Linked DNA regions of Mytilus edulis. The protein of the gene in region 1 purifies or fractionates together with the protein of each later gene. This does not show direct contact. Links are inferred from orthologs where the notes say so. Each region holds a gene or a part of one and is shown on either strand. Other genes may lie near its edges.

Region 1 (3,761 bases):
ATGGCTACCCTAAATCTAATTGACAAGCAGTGATTCTTTCTAACCCTCTTGCTGCTGGAGGGAAACATATGTCCACACTGACTGTGCCGGAGGGACACATGATATTCATGTTTTAACTTATGAAAGCTTGTCCTCATTGCTGTATCTTTTTCAAATAAAAAACAAAATATTTAACATCGTTTTATTTTTCTTCAATTGGTCCCAAATATAATGGTCATTTTTGCATGACATGATGCATATATTGAATGACATCATTGTTGGACATAAAACGTCACAGTTGTCGAGTCATCGTATTTTCCGGCACACAAAATGCAACCTTGAAAAACAACAGGCAGCAAATGGGTTAATTAGAATTATTCTATTGGGAAAAATATATGAAAATCTTGGTTCGCAACAAACTTGTCAATACTATATTGTAGACTTTTTTTGTAGTACAGAAAAGCTTAAATACTATACTTACATCCTTCATAGTGTACATAAAATTCATGTTTGCCTTCCACCATGTCAGTTAGTCTAGTTTGGATTATCTCTGCAGCATCTGTAAAAGTATTGTAAACAGTTATATCAGTTATCTAATCTGATATCAGGTTCCCACATTTTTTCTTATTGGATTTCTAACAACCTCCATGAATGAATTTCAAAATTTATACGATAAGATATATATTCAGATTATCAAGTTGCAGTTGATATTCATGTTTTTACTTCTTAACTTGTAAAGAGTTTCAATATTATCAAAAGTTGCTTTACTCATGCTATTTGGTATGAAATTATGATCTGTTTTATGTCTTATTTTGTACTCTTATAAAAAGGGAGATGTTGATTACGTAATTCAATATATAAAAGCATGTGTTCAACTTGTTAAACTTTTTCCTTTTAACTAGATTTAAAATTTACTTTTTTTAATCTCTATATATTCATTATTAGCATTTGCTGAAACATAATTAAGTGTTCTCCTGTTCTCAGGTGTGTCAATCTTCTTGTACAAGCTAATGATTTTCTATTTTAAGATATCCATCACGGCTTTCAGACTGTAAACACAAGGACCCTTTGGATTATAATACAATACACCTTATCCCTATTTGTCCACCAATATCTGATGCCACAATGTAAAAGTGATTGTTGTATTGATGATGTAGACAGCATTTTGAAGCCTATTGTAACTTACAAATACAAGAATAAACACAAAATATCAGGTCCTTTCTTGAACTTGTTCACAAATTTCCATGTGTTTTTTTCGTACTCAAGTACCAGAAGTCGAAATGTCAACAATGGCCAAACTCGGTTTAAAATTCTAGAATACACCGGCTGTACAAACAACAAAGTAAGATCTCACTCAAGTGTAAGTGTACAAGTGTTAGTAAGTATGTATGACATCAAAAGATCAAGCAGGACAGATTATCTGGTAAAGTGGGATGGAATTCAAAATAGCCATAAGGTGTATAAGCCTAAGGGTTACGCATTTACATGCAATTGATTGTAAATAATTGCTTACTGAGAGTTGACAACAAATTCTGATTGAAGAATTCTGACAATGGTGGGATCATTTGTCTTTTGATAATAGTGGAAGAAAATTTAACAATGTCCTGTCAATGGCAGGGTCCATTTAATGGTTGCGGAAGAAAATTTAACAATGGCAGGCATCATACTTGAAGATATTTTAACTATGTTGTCTTTGATGATGATGAAGCTCCATCATAAAAGAGCCCCTAATTCCTAACCTTTGGGACCAAAACTCCCAAAATCAATCCCATCCTTCCTTTTATGGTCATAAACCTTGTGTTTAAATTTCATAGATTTCTGTTTACTTATACTAAAGTTACAGTGCGAAAACCAAGAAAAATGCTTATTTAGGCCCCTTATTCATAAACTGTTAGGGCCAAAACTCCCAAAATCAACCCTAAACCTTCCTTTTGTGTTCTCAAACCTTGTGTTTAAATTTAATAGATTTCTATTAACTTATATGGGGACGAAGTCCCCAATAACAGTAGAAAATTCAATAAAAAAAAAAAAAAAAAAATCGGGGAAAATTTTCCCGATATTTTCATTGTACTAATGAACTCAAAATCATTCAATTTTTTTTTGTCGCGTTTTTGAAATTCCGGATCTGCGCAGAAATCTACAATGTACTTCCTTTTTCCGGTCTCGTTTGTATGAAACTTTGAGTAAAACATAAATTTATCAGTCTTGTATAAAATAGGAAGGAACGCAATACCAATTTCATTTTTTAATAATTCCTCGATATGAAAAAAAACGTTACCTGATGATAGCGTTTCTTTATTTACATTGTATATGACATCATAACTTTAATAACGTCACAACTAAAATCCTAACAACAGAACCAAAATACGTGAAACGTTACGGTATTTCCATTTCTTTTTTTTAACAAATATTAAAGTTACAAAAAAATAATTCATACAGACTTCGTCCCCATTTACAGGTAATGCCTGTCTCATATTACTAAAGTTATAGAGCAAGAACCAAGAAAAATGCTGATTTGGGCCCTTTTTTGGCCCCTAATACCTAAACTGTTGGGACCAAAACTCCGAAAATCAATCCCAACCTTCCTTTTCAGGCTTTTGTGGTCATAAACCTCTTTCATAGATTTCTATTCAACGACGACGACGACGCCAACTCCATACCAATATACATTTTGGCGGTCGTATAAAAATCATGAAAACACAGATATTTTTTAAATGCTAAATTTTAAGAAAAATTATCAAGGTAATCCTACGCCAAGTTCCATCAGATCTTCGAACAAGGTAGTGATCTCCCAAATCAGGAACATCGCTTTCTCCATGTCCATTCTTGTCTCCATTTGTTTCATTTATAGACATATTATTCAATATTTCTCCATTCGAAAGTCTTCGTAGAGGTATTTGTACATTAAAGTCATGATTTTCTAAAATTTCTGGATTTTTCAAATCCGCCATTTTTGTTATTGTCTGTTGAAATTTTTCTAAAAGTTGACAAAAGACGGAACAGAAGTAAAATTCCGGACGTGAAAATCTGAGTCACGTGATTCTAAAAATGGCAGACGAAGTTGAAGAGAAAGTAAACCCAGAGATAAATGAAGATGAAGCAATAGAACAGTTTCAAAATGGCCAGGTCTGTCGAGCGTTTAAATAACCAACAGAACATTGGACCTTTAATTAATGAGAGAGTAAAATCGTTTCTTCAGTCCCATATATAATAGGGATTTGAAATTTATTAGAAGCAACTGTTGAAGAATAAAAATAAATATTGATAGTTCAGTGATGTGCCAATTCAATGATTGATATGGACACAAATAGTTCATAACAAATTTTTAATTGTTGCGAAATATCGCATCAAACAATTTATGCTAAAAGTAAAATGTAACAGATTAAAATATTTCCAAACTCTGGTAAGCTAAAAAGGACAGATCAAATCATCCTATTATTCTAAATAATTATGACATCTTGAAAGGCTATTTTATTTTTTTGCTTTTACTCCTTACAGTGGCATCAAAATGAAAAATAGAATACCCTTTTAGTACACCATAATTGTTTTGACTACCTTCCTATGACACAAATGTATCAGCTCCACAACAAACTTACAGAAGTTTTACAGAAATTTACAAGATAACTTGTCATGCCACATCTTCTTACCTAATTTATATTGATCCAAAAACTATTGCAGACTTTAGCTATTTCGAAAAGTCAATAGACTACAGACAAAGTGATGTATTTTTTCATCTATTTATCATGTTTATTTTTTCTTTCTTATTTTTTTCAATTAATCTA
Region 2 (3,761 bases), on another chromosome or scaffold:
TAGGGGACCGTAGTCGTCCCGCGACGAATAATGTCTTTGCATCCAACATGTCACTATTTTCAATTTCCTGTCAAAATTTTCCGGCCAACCTTCATCCTGGTCAAACCATTTTTATCAAATATATTTATTTGTAACTGGTACTGAACTGACTATTAATAAAATATACGCCACTGGACTTGAAATATAATCAATACATATTCACAGCAGACAGAAGGCACCAAATGGATATTAGTAAAAGAAAATCTGAAAATATCTTGACAAAACAAATAAAAAAATGACGAATAGAAAAACGAGTCTACAAATCTATACATATTTAATAAAATGCTGTACAAAACAAACCCTATTACAACCGGGAATATATTAGCTGCTCCACTGATATTTCATTAATTATATATCTGTTAAGCATACCTTGTCCCAAATGTGCATGGCACACGTCGTATTGCTCATGGCACCCGACGAGTTGCTCGTGGCAAGTATAAATTCGATGATAAAGAGGATGGAATTATATGAATGGTCAGATGAATGTGTGATTTCAATTAAAAAAATATATATTCTTTTTTTGGGGGGCTGGTTTTCAAGTTTTTAGTTTTTTTTCACGGCTAGATAGGTGCAATTTGGGGCATTGTTGTCACGAAAAAGATAGTAATAACCACAGGTACTTGTTTCAGAAAAAAATCCTATATACCGGTACCTTAATGGTAACACGGTATGTAGGGGGAAAAATCTGACTGACAAGTGCCTGTGGTAATAATATAAGTTTCAAAATGGGAAACAAATATATTCTGAAATATCATTTCAACTGGAATAAGTATTTCTCTTCATTGGAAAATAGTTTATAAAACATTGATCGTAAGAAACTGAATGAAGGTATATGTTTAACGTACTTTATGTTAAATTATTGTATACGATGTTACAAGGATTTGTATAGTTACTTAGCTATACAAGAGGGTCTAGATGGGGGGTCTGTTATTCTGTAAACACTTAATTTTCACCCCTTTTTTTCTAATTTTTAAAATATTAACCCCTTTTTTCTTTAATCTTCAAAAAATTAACCCCTTTTTTCTCTATTCTTCATATTTTTTGCCCGTTATTCTCTAATCTTCATTTTTTAAGGGCATTATTCTTTAATCATTTAATCCCATACAAATCCTTGGATGTTATACAGATCTCATACGGATATTTTTCGTGACTATTCCTGAAAATAGAACAATTTTAACTGCGCAATTCCACTTCCTGTTATTATGAGAAGTGACGCGGGAATGAATCCCTGAATAGTTATTTAGCAATTGAGTGTATTTCTTATCTTCAAATGGATATCGTACTATGTCCATAAGAGGCATAAAGTTCATCTATTCTGTAGGAGAACCCGTCCTCTGTTTTGAACCAGATCCGACAAAGGCCCGAGTACTTTATGATGCAAAGGTTCTTACCTTATCAAAACCTACATTGTATTTTTAAACATTGTTTACACCCTTTACTTTCATTTTCCACAAAGTCCAAAACTTCTTCAAACAAAAACGTTGAAATAAACGTAAACAATCGTTTGTATAAATGAACATGTACATGGTTATTTTCGTTCAATATGTTGTTCATTAATTTATTTAAGGTTCATGTGGACCCTTTGGCTAAAATAGCCGTATTTTCACCGTAAAATTTACTCTGTGTACAGACAAACCTGTGCATCTGGAAAAGTTTTAAGGCATAGCATGCCCTAGATAAATAGAGGTCAAATGCATTGTATGATTTGGAAAAATCATAACTTAACTGGATTTTGCCATGCACTTTTTTGTCTACTCTTCCGGCGCATCAAGAAACCAGAAGATGCAGACTTGCTGCAGAAAGATCTTTCCTCGCTGGAAGAATGGAAAAAACAGTGGCAAATGTGTTTCCACCCAGAAAAATGCACAGTCATCCGTGTCTCTGGACGACGTCAACAACATCAGACGTCCTACTCATTCCATGGACACAGATTAGAAACAATAGACAGTGGGAAATACCTTGGGCTCACCATCAGCAAAGATCTCACCTGGTCAAATCACATCAACCAGACCATAGGGAAAGCCTCCAAGACACTAGGATTCTTACGGTGAAACCTGGGTAGGTGTATCCCAGCAACAAAAGCTACAGCTTACTGCACATTAGTCAGACCAACCCTGGAATACAATGTATGCTTCCCCGGTATGGGATCCACACCAAATTACCATCATACAATGTACGTGACATAGAGCAGGTACAGAGACGAGCAGCTCGCTTTGTCTACAGTTGCTACCAGGACAACTCTACAGGATGTGTCACAAAGCTTCTGGACCAACTTCAATGGGAATCACTGCAGCACAGACGATGGAAACAGAGTCTAGTGCTGTGTTACAAAACTCAACACCAGATGATTGCCATTGATCCAGCCAAGTACTATGCATCAGGTGACAGAAGAACCAGGGGCAACCACAAATTTAGACAGACAAGAGTGAAGAGAGACATCTACTACCACTCATTCAGTCATTCTTCCCGAGAACAACGAGAGAGTGGAACAAACTCCCAGAATCAGTAGTGGAGTCCGGATCACTAGAGGACTTCAGGGCCAGAGTGAACATCATCCCCTGGACCCAACCACACCTTAAATAGACAGCAGGAGAACCAGTGTATATAGTTGTAATTTAGCATATATTTTTATTGTAAATACCATCCAGATTTTCCTGGACTTTTACTTTTGGCCAGAGAGGAGTGACCTCCTGTCTGTTTGAGATGCACCCGAGTCAATTACACTTTCATAGAGTTCGACTCGTAACCGGGAAGAAGTAGTATACACGAATACTCTCTGGGGTGAATGGGAATATATATTAACTGCAGATCAAAATTGTCTGTAACCTCTATCTTGAGTACAGACAAACCTGTGCATCTGGAAAAGTTTTCAGTCATAGCTTGTCCTAGATTAGTCAGAGATTACTCTGACTCTAACAACTGTTTTTCCAGACAAGCTGGGGCTGTGGGACATCAGAGCTTGTCCTCTATCAAAAAGTGGATATTTGCCCGTCCAAAATACATGTGCTGCTTTGTCGCTTCTGATGCCGACTAACAGCCTTGGAATTATATAAATCGGGTATCAATTCAATTGGTTCAATTTTCATTTATTTCTTTATTTATGTAAGTTTCATCTACTTGCCGCCACCCTTTATTTTCTCATATTTAGAAAGTTTTCACAGTGACCTATCGATTTGTTATGCAGATCAAATGATCTGTATACTTTTTGGTGAAAAAAAGATTAAAACTTTTTAATTTACAGGACTTTGCAGCTAAATGACTAATACAAAGGTGTTTTTTTTTCCACATACAATGTATAAGGCTGTATCTCAAAAATGATTTATGATTATTGCTCTGAAATTTACACACTTCTTAGTTATACATGTATTAATCTAAAGATCTGTATACTTTTTGGTGATTATTCAAATTTTTATTTTTGAGTTAGAGTATTTTGTAAAAAAAGGGGAGGGGGTTTTCACATGTCACGCTGTATCTCTAAAACGATTTATGGTTATTGCTTAAAAGTTTACACACTTCTAAGTTATATTAATTTTGAAGATCTGTATACTTTTTGGTGATGGTTCAAAATTTTATTATTTTATTTTAGAGATATTGAGTGTTTTGTAAACAAAAAAAAGATTTTTTTTCACATGTTGTGCCATATCTCAAAAACAATTTATAATTATTGCTTAAAACTTTACACACTTGTTATTTATATTAATCTTAAGATCTGTATACTTCTT
Region 3 (3,761 bases), on another chromosome or scaffold:
GATTCGCATACCTCTATTGAATTTCCTGTTTCAAAACATTGAAAACACAAATTATTTTTCTTTGTATGTAGCCAGGGTAAAAAAACTTCTGTTTGACAGAAATTTACAAATAATTTTTTTTGATAAAAAAAATAAATTTAAAAAATGTAGGAACTACTTGACTTTCATAGCTCATAATTAACGTGTTTACAAAGTTATATGATATATTGTTAAAGATTAGTTTGCTTCAATACTAATTACATCAACTTACCAAAACATAGATTTTATTAAACATGTTAAAGTCTGAACATTTTTAAATTTTTTATTAATTTTATCAGTGTCGGTTTTCTGATATAATCACGTCGGTTTTCTGATATAATCACAACTTCCTGAAAAGATCTGACTAAATACCCATATCTCTATATCGTCAGGTGAAAACGCTAAGTACAAAATGAAGTATATGACTTTGGAGGGAGTTCCATTTCAATAGGCCAGTTCCGGGATACTGTTTTCAGACTGATTATAATCTGTCATGTGACTTCCATCATCATGTCATGCATCATCATTTCCAACATATATTGAGCAAACAGGTGAAAAAGTTTTATTTTATACTGGACACAATATTTGGGAAATTAAAATCTAATAAGATGGTCACCCTCACTCAGTCGTACAGCAATCAAGAGTACGTACTTACGGAACATAAATTATTTCAATAATACCCTACAGAATGACGATTTTGAAAGTGATGGAAACTTTTGATAGAGCAGGGATACAGGCGCGCCTTCTATCTGGTAAATGATGTCATCCAGATGTGCAAAATTGACGAACTTTTTCGGTGAAAGACATGATTCCAGAAATGAAGTATACTTTTTAAATAAAAATCAATGTTGATATCAAACATCCTTGATCTAAGATCTCCACATTCTCAACCCCAAACCAAAATTTCCCAGTCACCTGAACTGTACATAACAATTAAGGATAATAAACAAATTACATTTTGTAAACCTAATCATACAACTCTTAGTTTGTTTTACCGTATGTCTTCTTTTCATTTGTTGTTTTAAACTTGTTTCGTTTTTATAACTGCATGATCGGTATTGTACAAATCTGAAAGCTTGACATTCTATCAGTACTTACAAAATCTGAAGTGCAAAATTGACGAACTTTTTCGGTGAAAGACATGATTCCAGAAATGAAGTATACTTTTTAAATAAAAATCAATGTTGATATAAAACATCCTTGATCTGAGATCTCCACATTCTCAACCCCAAACCAAAATTTCCCAGTCACCTGAACTGAGTTTCAGAGTCCATCACATGTATAAATTATTTAAATAAAACTAGATGTGTCAAAGCAACATGAATGGCCCCCCGTCTCAAAAAGTTGAAAAATCTGCAATTTCAATAACACATGTGGACACAAACATGATGATAGTCTCAAAAATCAGCTGAAAACCTGGAGGCGTACAGAAAAAAAGTCTGTATAATTGTGATTTTCAACAATTTTCAAAGATGTAAATCCTTACTTTTGGCAAAAATTAGCGGAGCAGAAGGAAACTTAAACTTGATCTGTAACTCATCATGAGTAACTCACATCATGCACATACCAAAAATCAGCACAATATCTGAAAGTGTTCAGAAAAAAATTCTATATAACTATGATTTTCACCAATTTATCGAAGTCCATAGCCCAAAAATAAGCTGAGCAGAACAAAACTTAAACTTAATCTGTAACTTATCATGGATAACTCACATACCATAAATCAGACCAATATCTGAAAGAGTTTAAAAAATTTCACACAATTTATTTAAGTCCACAGACCATGATTTCGGTAAAAAAAACGTAATGAAATTTAAACTTGATCTGTAACGCATCATTGTTAACTCGCATACCAAAAATCAGCCCAATATCTGAAGGCGTTTAGAAAAAACTGTGTATGATGGTTTGTTGCGGAATGACGGAATTGCAGAATTTTGGAATTTCGGACAAGGGTAAAACTATATGGCACCGACAACTTCATTACGGGGCCATAAAAATATAAAATAATACTAAAGATGATGAGTTACTTCCCCTGTCAACCTTTCTTTATTTTCATCATCTTTTAGTTTATGAAATGAATATTGTAAAAGAGATACAAGAAGAACGATTACCATTCAAATTATTCCATTTTATTTAAAATATATTTTAATTTTTTGTATTATCTTGTCCTCCTTCAGAAACAAACGAGACATGACTATATGTTATGTAAACAAAAACATCATGTCATGCCGCCATGCGTCGGCGTGGTCGAACCGGTGACGAATGTGACGGGATAAAATACAACTGTGTCACCTCTTAGAAGGTCTCCAGTTCTGTAATACACTAATTTCTTATTATAATTATCGATTTATATTTACCAATGATATGAGTTTTTCACATTAACAGCAATTCACTAGCTGCAAACATTTGACGCATTTCCATTTTCTCCATTTTGTGTTTTGTAAACATAATTCGGAACATCTCTTAAAGTAATATAACTAATTACCGAACAAATATAACAAAAGTTATGAATTGCAACGTACCATCGAAAAGATACGGAAGCGTATTGGAGACATTGATAAAATAAAATTGTCATTAAAAATGAATTCTAAGTTGATATTAAACAATTAAAATTTGAAAATTTCGACTTCAATTCGAAATTTCAATTTTTCATTTCTGAAAATGTGATTTTTCTTTTAATAATTTCGACTTTAAACTCGAAATTTCACTTTTTAAAAACTCGACAATTCAACTTTAATGGAACACAAGCTACGAGATATAGCAGAAAAAATAGAATAATAGAAAGAAAAAAAATTGTACTTATTTTGTTCAATCATTAATCAAAGTGAAATAGTTAAGTAAAAAGACTTTTAGCAATTAAAATTGAGAAAGGAAATGGTGAATATGTCAAAGCGACAACCACCCGACCATAGAGCAAACAACAAACAAACAATTAGTTTGGTTCAGTTTTGTCAAAATAAGCAGATAAATTTTGCTAATGAAATATCATCAATAGCAAGTAAATAATAAAATCCGTTTTCATGTGAACTTTAATTAATTAGCTAGAGATGGGTTACACGTGCAGCACTAGGCGTGATCAGCTAGTAAGAGGGAAACATTTCAACAATTTAAAAAGGGAAACAGGGGTAATTTTTAAACCATTTGATTGACTATTGGATCTACAAAAACTTATTCCATACACGTTAAATCGATTTTTCAACTATTGCTTTAATCTATAATATGAAATCGAACAGACTGGATATATGTTCAATTACACGTCCTTGCTATCTATTTATATCTTTGTGTATGTTTTCAACAGAATATATTATCGTCGACATTCTTCGGAAGGACACATCGATGGTTAATTAGATTGAGTCTAGACTAAAATGCATACGAAATGCTGATACATAATTTCGAGTTTATGAATTGTAAATTGTTTATTTTGGTCTTTTTTATTTGGATATACGTTTTAGTATGTTATATTTGAATATGAAAATTTGAATCAAATCGGTGAACATTAATTTGACAGCTAGTGCCCCTTTAAGATCGTAAACTCAACTTTGAAAAGCTCGAAATTCTTATTTTAACTTTTCAATTTAAGGGACGGGATTGTAGCTACGAAAATTGAAACAAATACATTATATCGACATACAAGCTTGTCAGCCTTCTATCGAACCATTTGGATAGTTGAGAACAGGTTTGATCACACTAAATAGTTATCAAAGGTACCAGTATTATAATAATTTAGTACACCAGACGCGCGT

The links.
Region 2: the proteins of histone acetyltransferase KAT8-like (region 1) and MSL complex subunit 3-like purify together in Homo sapiens (affinity purification with mass spectrometry; 4 studies listed by BioGRID and IntAct, with this or other methods). This does not show direct contact. The link is inferred for Mytilus edulis from reciprocal best matches to the Homo sapiens genes KAT8 and MSL3.
Region 3: the proteins of histone acetyltransferase KAT8-like (region 1) and PHD finger protein 20-like protein 1 purify together in Homo sapiens (affinity purification with mass spectrometry; 3 studies listed by BioGRID and IntAct, with this or other methods). This does not show direct contact. The link is inferred for Mytilus edulis from reciprocal best matches to the Homo sapiens genes KAT8 and PHF20L1.

Annotation. Positions count from the first base shown.
Region 1 is NC_092352.1:21,231,896-21,235,656, forward strand, and holds the start of histone acetyltransferase KAT8-like, read right to left. Parts: upstream 2,931-3,761; coding exon 2,732-2,930; intron 539-2,731; coding exon 461-538; intron 1-460. Other genes in the region: leucine-rich melanocyte differentiation-associated protein-like, read left to right, coding at 3,028-3,105.
Region 2 is NC_092351.1:20,165,103-20,168,863, reverse strand, and holds the start of MSL complex subunit 3-like, read left to right. Parts: upstream 1-1,217; 5' UTR 1,218-1,323; coding exon 1,324-1,422; intron 1,423-3,761. UniProt on the Homo sapiens protein: Non-catalytic component of the MSL histone acetyltransferase complex, a multiprotein complex that mediates the majority of histone H4 acetylation at 'Lys-16' (H4K16ac), an epigenetic mark that prevents chromatin compaction.
Region 3 is NC_092355.1:3,752,530-3,756,290, forward strand, and holds the start of PHD finger protein 20-like protein 1, read right to left. Parts: upstream 2,492-3,761; 5' UTR 2,376-2,491; intron 1-2,375.